Linked DNA regions of Caenorhabditis elegans. The gene in region 1 interacts genetically with each later gene. Each region holds a gene or a part of one and is shown on either strand. Other genes may lie near its edges.

What was found. A genetic interaction does not mean that the proteins touch.
Region 2: of osr-1 (region 1) and spn-4, a change in one rescues a mutant of the other (synthetic rescue), as found in Caenorhabditis elegans (one study listed by BioGRID).

The regions. Positions count from the first base shown.
Region 1 is NC_003279.8:5,199,759-5,205,513, forward strand, and holds osr-1 (TPR_REGION domain-containing protein), read right to left. Parts: upstream 3,747-5,755; 5' UTR 3,649-3,746; coding exon 3,603-3,648; intron 3,414-3,602; coding exon 3,096-3,413; intron 3,044-3,095; coding exon 2,925-3,043; intron 2,796-2,924; coding exon 2,388-2,795; intron 1,882-2,387; coding exon 1,800-1,881; intron 1,745-1,799; coding exon 1,113-1,744; intron 1,067-1,112; coding exon 955-1,066; intron 809-954; coding exon 594-808; 3' UTR 501-593; downstream 1-500. Other genes in the region: putative 3',5'-cyclic phosphodiesterase pde-5, read left to right, coding at 109-197, 245-344; Transcription factor sem-2, read right to left, coding at 5,551-5,755.
Region 2 is NC_003283.11:6,782,347-6,786,781, reverse strand, and holds spn-4 (RRM domain-containing protein), read left to right. Parts: upstream 1-1,878; 5' UTR 1,879-1,879; coding exon 1,880-1,929; intron 1,930-1,976; coding exon 1,977-2,081; intron 2,082-2,127; coding exon 2,128-2,190; intron 2,191-2,238; coding exon 2,239-2,954; intron 2,955-3,007; coding exon 3,008-3,129; 3' UTR 3,130-3,595; downstream 3,596-4,435. Other genes in the region: spe-39 (Spermatogenesis-defective protein 39), read right to left, coding at 1-151, 207-343, 394-555, 607-814, 861-1,021, 1,187-1,291; ZC404.15 (uncharacterized protein), read right to left, coding at 3,654-3,829, 3,921-4,103.

The DNA.
Region 1 (5,755 bases):
ACTACATAAAATTAAGTTCAGATGAGTTTAAAAATTAAACAGAATATCAGCATTTTCAATTATTTGTGGAAGTTGTATCAATCAATTGGTAAAGAAACATTTTTCCAGGTCGGCTTCATGCGTGGGATCTGTATGCCCTGCTACGACTTAATCGCGCGAATATTCCCGAAAAACGATAAAATGAGAGAACGCTGCGAGTAAGTTGCAAATTTATCAGCATCTCTCAAAAATTTAATTTTCACAGATACAACGCCAAAAAATGGGAAGAGCTAGCCGAGGAGCAACGGAAGAAACAAGAGGCTCTTGCTCAACAAAATGGCGAAGCTAATGAAACTCAAGAATAATACAATACTGAAATTTCACATATTTCATTAATATCAATTATTTGTAATATATTATCACTATGTTGTCATAATGTTTTACTTGTATTTCTTATCACGATCTCATTATCAATATCAATAAAAATAAATATAATGAGATATGGAGTATCTCAATTATTAAAATTATTTTACTAACCAGTTTATTAGCTTCAATTTATTACAGTTATTAAATTTTGTTATTATTATTATTATTACTAATTGGAATGTATGTATCTACAATCCCAGTGCAGGCATATCAAATGCTCCATTTCCTCCAACGAATCGTTTGGTTTTTGAGTTCATTTTGAACCCAACTTCATCTCCAGGATTCCAGTTATTCGGGATTTTGAACATGGTATCCCACTCGTCACGGGCTCGCCCCTGAGTCGAGAAAGCCGTGTTCAAGGCTGGCATAGTTGGATCAAGAGATGGGAGAATGAAGCGACTTCCTATAAGAAAAGGATTGGCGTTTTTTCTCTCTGTTTTGACTCATCAATTTCTGTTGTCGGCACGTAACATAGTTCTTCGTACACATTCTATGTTTTCACTGACATTGCAGAAAAACCAAGACAAAAACATTTTAATCAATACCTACCAAGTCCTGGAATTTCTTTTTCATTTGCTCCAGTCCATCTCAATCTCGTATGCCTTCCTTTTGGTTCAAAGAACAATGGAGGAATGGGACGTTCTTCAATATCTTGGAATACCTGAAATAAATATTTAAATTGCCAAAATAAATTAATCTCATTATACCTTTGCATCAATCATTTCAGCTTTTGCAGTTGGTGCACCGAACAGTCTTGGTAATGCACGAATTGTTTTGACACGTGTTCTACCTTTCTGTTCATCAGTTAACATTTGCCTTCCTTTCAATGTATTCTCTAATTTATCATCCATGAACAATGCAGCAAGACTTGGATTATTCTTCAAATTTGTCAAAACTCTTGATTCTTTTGCAATTTTCCATTCGGTACTTGGATGTCTTCGTATTTCCTCTTGAACTTTTGGATCAGATCCAATTAATAATGGAAGCATTTTACGTGGTCTTGTTGGGATTTTACGTGGAGCAAAGTAGCCAGGCTGAGGTTTTGGATTGAATTCCATCGGCTTTGGAGCAAGATACTTTTCCACGTCATCAACTCGATATTTAATTCTGTCCAATGCACTTTTCAATTCATCATTTGACTTTAATTTCTCAACGAATCCGGAAGAAAGACGAAGTGGTGCACGACGGAATGAATTTTCAGATGGATCAATCAAATTTTCATCTTCTTCGTCTTCATCATCATCAGACTCTCCAAAACCATGGAGACCGAGCACAAGTTGAGATTTTTGATCTAGTTTTGCACGAGCCTCCATTGCGCGGAATGCACTTTCATCCTCATCTGAAATTTAGTCGACAGATAAGAGTTCCTACTAATTCAAAAAACAAAAACCAACCGTTCATAGCCAAAGGCCTTCGCTTGCTCAGTGGAGAATCCCTCATTCGTTGGTAAGAGAGCAATGATTGAACTTCCGCATTCTGAAAGTATTAGGTATTTTTTCAAAGCGACCACACAGGCACAAAATGTCCTACTAGGCTTACGACTGTCATTGTTAGTTATTTTCCAAGATACACGTGATTTTTTCTCAATTCGCGATCTCCACAAAAATTTTTCGAAATATTTTATGGTGGTTTAACATCTTACAAACAAAATAGGAGACTTTAGCTAAATCGCATCCTATTATATTAAATTTTCAAAATGACAAAAAACTTTTTTAGAAGTTTCCGAAAAAATATAGACTTAAAAATAGTAAGATTCGGCAATTTTTTTGATAATTGCTGCAGAAGTATTACCGACTGTTGAAAGTTATCAATATCGGCGATTCTCAACACCTATGTATGATTGTTGTATTTGTAAAATTATATTTACAGATATGCTCTAAATACATATAAAAAGACTTAATACTTTTATATAAAGCTTAAATATTTTGGATTTTTTTTCCTTTCTAAAAAAATTTAAAACAGTTGAGAAATTACTAATTCACCTGTAAAAGCTCTTTTAATCTAGGACTACTTTTCAATCTCCTGGCTAAATCTCTTCTCTGATGCTCTGCTTCACTTTGTGGTTCTCCATCCGAACTTCTTCTTCTGGGTACATCCTCGTCCTCAAGATCATCATCATCTTCATCTTCCTCTTGAAGTTCTCTTTGTTGCATTCTTTGGTCCACTCGATTCATCATCATCCGTTGTTCTTCACCTCTTCCACCGGCAACTGGGGCATTTTTACCTAACATTGCTCTTTGAGCAAGAGCTTGTTGGAACACTGACGATGGAGCAGCTTGAGCTTTTCTCATTTGTTGAGGCATTTTAAAGGGGTTCTTGCCAGCGATCATATTTGCAACGAGTCCTGGGAGAATTTGTGTTTGAAATTTGTCCATTACGGCTTTGGCAATCTAAATTAGAAACATTGTTAGTTATAAAATTAAGAAAATCATTCTGCAAACAATAATTAAAAACCCAAACAAATGGGAAAAGGGAGTTTCTCTAATATTTTTTAAAACTGCAATTGAATTCACACCAACCTGTTCGGACGGATCCGTATTTTCCATATCTCTCTGCGTTCGGATAGCATCTTCTAATCCACGAATACTGCTACCAATTGGGATTCCATTTCCATTCAACATATCGATAAATGCATTTCCTGAAATTCAAATTTGTTTTCAGAACAGTTACTGAAAAAGTAAAATGAAAACCTGATTTAGGCTGTAATTTTGCCATCTCCGCCTGTTGCATAACTGCATCAGCTGCCAAATCATCAACTTTTAGCTTTTTGTACTTATCGAATTGATCAGGATGTACTTTCTCTAGAACTTCTAATTGAGTCTTAAATGCTCCTTTTGCCATTTCCATTTGACCTTTTTTGATGAGAGCATCAACAAATTGAACACCCATCAGTTCAAGAGCTTCCATTGATGGAGCCAGTGGTAGTTTTTGATGGCTTTTACCTACGAGAGATGACAACAAAGCTCCCGGAGCATCGGAAGTCGATGGAGATTGGGCCGATAATGGTGCTGGAAATTTTCTAAATATTTTCCCTTTTTTCAATTTTTCCTCATAAATCATCACTTAAAAAAATGTTAGGATATCACAAAAAGTTCAGCCAAAGTATTTGATAAATTGCCAAATTTTTTAAAGTTTCTGATTTTTTTTGAAACATAAATTTAACAATGTAATCTCTAAATATTGAATTTAAAACTAACCGATACAAAATCCTAACAACAGGAATAAAAATAAAAATAAAATCATTTTCGAATCTTTTACGAAAGTGAAATAAATAAAATGAAAATGCGAAAGAGAAAATCTTTTGAAAGGGAGAAGTCGTGGAACTGGATGAAAACAAGAATGAATTGATAAGAATGGCTAACGACGAGAATATCACCTTCTGACATAGGTGAACCTTCGGATGAAACTTGTTTCTTGGGTGGGAGAGGAAGGATTTGTTACATCAGCATAGCTTTCATGGATCATCAATGCGTTTCGATTTGTTTTTAAGGGTTTGTTTTTTTAATTCATGTAATCAGGATGTTTATACAGTATTGACTCTGTTGGTCTTGCTTGCAATTCGATCATTATGTAGGAGTGCTACTGAATCCCTTTCCCGACTTAAAAAACAACTCGGTTCGTCTTTTTTTTTGCAATTCAAACAAAAAAAACGGTCGTGCGCCGGTCGCGTGTTCGAGATGCCAATCTTAGAATTTACCCGGTTCGTTTGACGACCGTTAACGTCGTTGGAGGTCGGTGTGATTTAGTAATTTAGAAGAACTTTTTGAAGATTTTGAGTTGCGATAAATTGGGGAAAAGAACTTTCGAAATGTCGGAAATTGATGTCCAATATTTGGAACGAAAGATAAAATAAAGAAAAAAAGAGAAAAAGAAACATGCCGACAAGTTGAGGTTGTGAAGGACGGATGATAGAATGCACTATTTATTTGAAGGTTGTTTTTTTTTCAAAGCTGTTGGAGCCAAAAACAGGGTGTGACTTTTTAAAGCAGGTTTCAGAAAAGTGCCAAAATTCCGAGAATGACATTGCAAAAAAAAACAAGAGGTTCCAGAAAAGCGGCTTCCCGACTGCTCGGTTATTGCAGTATTCACGGAGCAATTGTTCTACCAGCACAAAAATTGATTTCAGGCCAGGATTGAACTGTTATGTTAAATTGTAATATGTCATACATATTTTACGAGACTGTTTACGAGACATTATTTAGGGAAGTTTTTTCAATTTGTGTCACACACTTGCCGCAGCTGCCAATAACTAATTAATAGTAGAAAATTGCTAGGTATTTACCTGAATTTTAATTTACAGAACAGAAAAAATTAATTAAACGTATATTATTTCCACAAATCTATGTATTTTGAAATCAAAAACAAGTTAATTTTTTAAATGATTTTTATTGCTCAGAAAAAGGAGACAAACATAAATCAATCAATAATAAATGAAATCAAGAGGAAGAAATTCATTCAATACTGAAAATTTGGAAAGATGAGTGAAAAAGGATAAGAGATATTTAGAGATGAACAAGAGAATAAATATTTCTTCAGGTTTGGGAAAAAGGGTAGCTACATTTGGCATATTGTAGAGGGCAGGGGATGGGGGGAAGTGTTCAACATATACAATCATAATTTCGTGCTTGAAATCTCAGAAATTTTTTTTTTCAAGTACAACGGCGAATTGGGTAATCGATGAAAGTTGAAAGAACGAATGAAAACTGGCTCGGTAAAGCTGGGAGAGGATAAAAATGGGTAAAGAAATGGGGACGATACTTTTGTAGAAGAATACTTTCAATTTGAAATTAGTGAATTACTTTTTGGATTTGTAGAAATACTCTTAGGGTTTCAAGAAATGAAAGAATACAATCGCTTGGATTTGTTGAGGAAATACTGGAAAACAAAGAGAAAAATACAGAAAAAGGTGGTAAATAACTAGAAAATGCTGGGGATTAAAAGGTACTAAGACCGGACTAAAGGGACACTCGAAAATTGTTGGAGAGAGATAAAGAGAGAATTGTTTCAGGGGAGAGGCTAGAATTGAGGTAGGAGCAGAAAATGTTGGGCTTTCAGAAGAAACAGTGAAAAAAAACATTTGGACGTAGCGATCTACTTACTACCCGAACTTTCAGAAGTTTTCAAAAAAAAACTTGTCTGAAATATTCAAGAAAAATTAATATCAATTCCCAATGCATCGCTCCATGGATAATTGACCAGCTCGCCTGTGGTTACAGTTGGACAAATCTGCTCCAGGTCATCCAAATGTGTTGTAGTCGTAGCGGCCGTAGCCATTGTGACGACTCCCGCCGAGTTTGGTGATGACGTTGATTGTTCAGAAGCACTACAGTCGGCGTATCCCGAAGATCCA
Region 2 (4,435 bases), on another chromosome or scaffold:
CATTTGTCGGGCTTCAAATTTCATTTCAGGAATTGAGAAGCTACCATGAAGCATGGTTCGGAGCAACGGGACTCGCTTGTCTGGATTTCGTTTGTATTTTCGCGTAGCTTCGAATTCAATGACAGATGCATGTTGATACTGACCAATGCTACTATAAAATGGGGAAATTGATTTCAACAAATTTTAATTTAGTTTTTATTAAATACCGTAAAAACTTGTTCATCTTGTCCCACTCGCCGGTGATCTGAAGATGTCGTGTGTAAACTCGGCATGCACTTTTCTGGCCATCCATTATTTTGCAGAATATGTTTTCCTTGAGAGTTCTCTCTAGAAAAATCACAATCTGTAAAGAAAGATAACTTTTTAAAAAATTAGTATCATAGCTGTTCGGACCTTGAAAATTGTATTATTGTCGTACGTGGCAACTGCTTGCTTCAAAAGTTGTGTCTTATCACGTAATGACCTATAGTAATCCAGTGTTACAGTATGCCCTTGAAGCATTCTCTTGATACTAGCCTCGATTGTAAGCGGCTGAAACCGTTCGTGGCGAAGAACCTAGAATCATAATTATCTTCAAAATTCTATATTAAAACTTTAATAGCTAACTTCGTGCTGATCTTTAAGTTTCCGATGTTCTTGTCTCAATCGATTATAATCCAAATCAAGACGTTGTGCTTCACTTGGTAAACTACTTGCACTTGCTTCAGAAACCACAGATGGAGCGGTCTGAATAACTGGCGCCACGTTAACGTTCTCAGCGAATTTCATGTTCAAGAAATCATCTACAATCTTGCCAGAAGCCCGAGGAGAGGTACTGCAAATTACTTATTTATATTCATAAAACAATGTAATTAACTTACTCTGTTATTCGAATATTCGCCTTGTCTGACACAGCAGCAGCTCTTCCGTCAATTTGCAGTGGAACATTTGTGGGAGTTGGCGTTGGGTTCTGCGGTCGGACGTACGGCTTCGGAGTCTCATCGCCACCGAAGAGATTGTCGACGGCTGCTCGAGCTTGAAGCTTTAATTTTCGTGTTAAACACATTGATTTGAGCAATATAATAATTAAGAAACGTGTTAATTTACTTTTTTTTCAATTTTTTAAAAGTAAAACATCTGGTCACGTTTATAGTTTTAAAAGATTTTTTTCGTTTTTTCTTAATATAATAACTACGTTAAAACTTACTTGTTTTGATTGTAAATCATCAAACAATCCGGATGAATTCGAGTCAGATTCATTCCAATAACTGTCTTCCGGAAGTTCAAAAGTGAATTTCCTTCGAAGGGCCATTCTTTATAATATTATCATTTCTTTTGCAAAGTATCTGAAAGAAACTATAAGAATGAGAAAAAATAGATAAAATTTTATGGGAAAATGGGAAAAGAATTCAATAAAAAATAAATGCAGAGAAAAAAAACGCAATTGACATGAAACGAGAAAAAGAGAAGAAAGGCAACTGCGTGCACGCTCCTTGCAAAAACTGCGTGCCAGGATTGCGAAGGCGGGGCTTATGAATGAAGCGCGAGTTTGAATCAAATAAAATTATTTTTTGCTCTTGGCCTAAAGAAAATCGAATTAAAGCTTTAGTTTCTAGTAATTCGTAAAATAATTTTTTTAATCGAAAATAGAACACAAAATTGTCTAGTTATATTAACTTTTAGACCTGATCCGACGTTCGTATGAACTAGAAATCTAGAAGATCACAAAGGCGCGAAATTTTGATTTTAGATTTTTCTGTAACTCGGTGGCGGGAAAATGTGAAATTATATTTTCAATCGTTTTATCATCATTTGGAATCATTTCTGCACTTGTCTTCTGTTGTCTTGTCTTTTCTTTACCCAGTTCCTCATTTTTCTTTATTCAACTTTTTTTTTCAGAATGCAAAACACACAGATATTTACTAACTTCGCTCACAGAGCACATGATGGGTATGTTTATCATTTTTAAATGTTGGTATTAAGTATTTCTTTTTCAGATTACCGTTTAACAGTGCGAATCCTTCCAACAAAGATCCAATTTTCACAATGCCAATATCGGTCAAACCGAAAACTCGTGAGCCGGCTTCTTTCACAGATAACAGGTAAATTTGTCGTGCCGTTTTAATGAATTCATCAAAAAACTTTTAGGATATATGTCAGCAATATTCCCTTCTCGTTTCGTGAACAAGATTTGGCGGCAATGTTCTTCGCGTGAGTTTTCAATTTACAACAAGTTCTGAATAAGAATATTAATTTCAGATATGGAAGAGTCCTGAGTGTGGAAATCGTCACAAATGATCGTGGATCCAAAGGGTTCGGGTTTGTCACACTCGATTCCATCGAATCCTGTGAGAAAGCTCGTGCTGCGCTTCACGAATCACATGTTCAAGGAAGAATTATAGAAGTGAGAAGAGCGACACCAACCCGCAGAAAGCTTATCAACAATCCACAAAATGAAGTTTTGCCACCACCAAAGCTGTGTGTCGATCTTCGAGCCCCTCATAATTTATGGAGAGCTGAGCCAATGCATCAGTTGTTCAAGGAAAAGGAGAACACAACATGTTTTCCCGAAGCTGGATTCATGATGGCACCATACCGTAGCAATGGAATTTTCAACACGCGTAGTCTTGTGCAGACCAAACCACCTCGATGCACCAAGCACAGCGAGCTCAAGCTTTCTTCAGCTGGTGAATACTTCTGCAAAAACGGCGAGCCTACGACGGAAACAAGTATTCTGATGTGCATGCACAGACAAAACTCACCATGCAGCAATAAGTGTTCTGATTCTTCGAATCACGAGCTGTCTGATGTGGAGTTGAACTCTATATTCCCACATCATCTTCGTGACCAGATTACTGCTCTTCTCGACACTTCAAACCATTTTGGATCAGGAAATAATAGTGCTAACAAAGGAAAGAGAGCACCATCTGTGACATCTTCTGGATTGAGATCATCAGAGAGCGAGACAGTTTCAGGTAAATAGTTTAGATTCTAGATTGTCGATTTTCATTTAAAAATCAAATTTTAGACGAAGAGATTCATTGGTCCCCACATAACAGCCCTGATTATCTTCTCGCTGCTCTCTACGAAGGTTCCACATCGTTCCACGGAAAGTCTGTTTCTCCACCAAAAGAATCGTCAAGCCAGTAATCAGTTCAACTGATACGCCCATTTTATTTCTACTAACTGCGTGTTTTGCATTTTATCGAACACCCCTAAACTTTCACTTAACCAAAAAGCTTTAACAAATTTTTTACGGAATCTTCTTGTACAGCGACACTCGTTGTCCTTGTCAAATGATTCGTTGCTAGTTTTTCTTCCCTGTAGCTTCTATATCGACCCCCCCGGTGTTATTTTGTAGGAATGCGTTTCAGCATCTTCCCTATTTTGCCATCTCTCACATACACTCAACATTAGCAATCGGAAAACAGATCTTCTATATTGAAAATATACTACCAGTCCGTTTAACCTACCTCGCTTGCTAACATTATTGAATGTGCCCACGTATTGTATTTTCTGAGCATCTTTCTGTTTTTTTTGTATTTTATAGACGCTGTGTTCGCCAGTTATTTTTGCATTCCTGTATTGCTCGAAGTCAAATGAAGTGCTTCGCCATATTCAATTGTTTTATTTTCAAAATCACCCGTTAATACTAGATTTCAGTTTGAATTTAATCACAGTTGTGAAAGATCATTATCCCGGCGTGTCATTGAGAGATCAAATGTTATCTTTCGGCACCTCTTGGCCTTCCTCCATTCATGATCAGAAGATTCACTCTCTTCTAAAATGACGTCGTGAGAGACTGCGGGAAGAGAAAAGGACGATGGCTGTCGGCACTTTGTGGATGCTGCTGGAAAAGTTTGGTGAATTTTGAAGTTTTGTGGTTTTTGATGATAACTTCAAAATGGATGGGAAAACACGAGAGAGAGAGAGAAACTTACGGATTTGAAGAGTGGGTGGAGAGGAAGGGTACAAACTGCTTCGCTCCTCATCATTTCCTGTGCCACGTCGACTTCGATTTTGACGACTTGAAAGTGTTGCGAAGAAGGACATTCGACGGGATTTCGATCGTCGACAACCACCGCTTACCCAACAAAATAGGCACGAAACAGGAATGAAGATACCTGAAATAAATATGCATTATTAGGCAAACTTGGAATTTTCATAGTTTTTTCCTATAGATTTTGATTTTCTCTAAAATTCCCCAGCGCCTATATTACAGGAACACTATTTACATTTTGAGAATGCGAATTGCACAACATCTGACGCGCAAAATATCTCGTAGCGAAAACTACAGTAATTTTTTAAATGACTACTGTAGTGCTCGTGTCGATTTACGGGCTCAATTTTCGAAAATATTTTCTCGAACTTTGGCAGCGATTATCAATTAAAATTATTTACAATTCGAAAAAGCGAAGCAAAATTGAAACCCGCTGTCCAAATTCGAAAAGAAAAC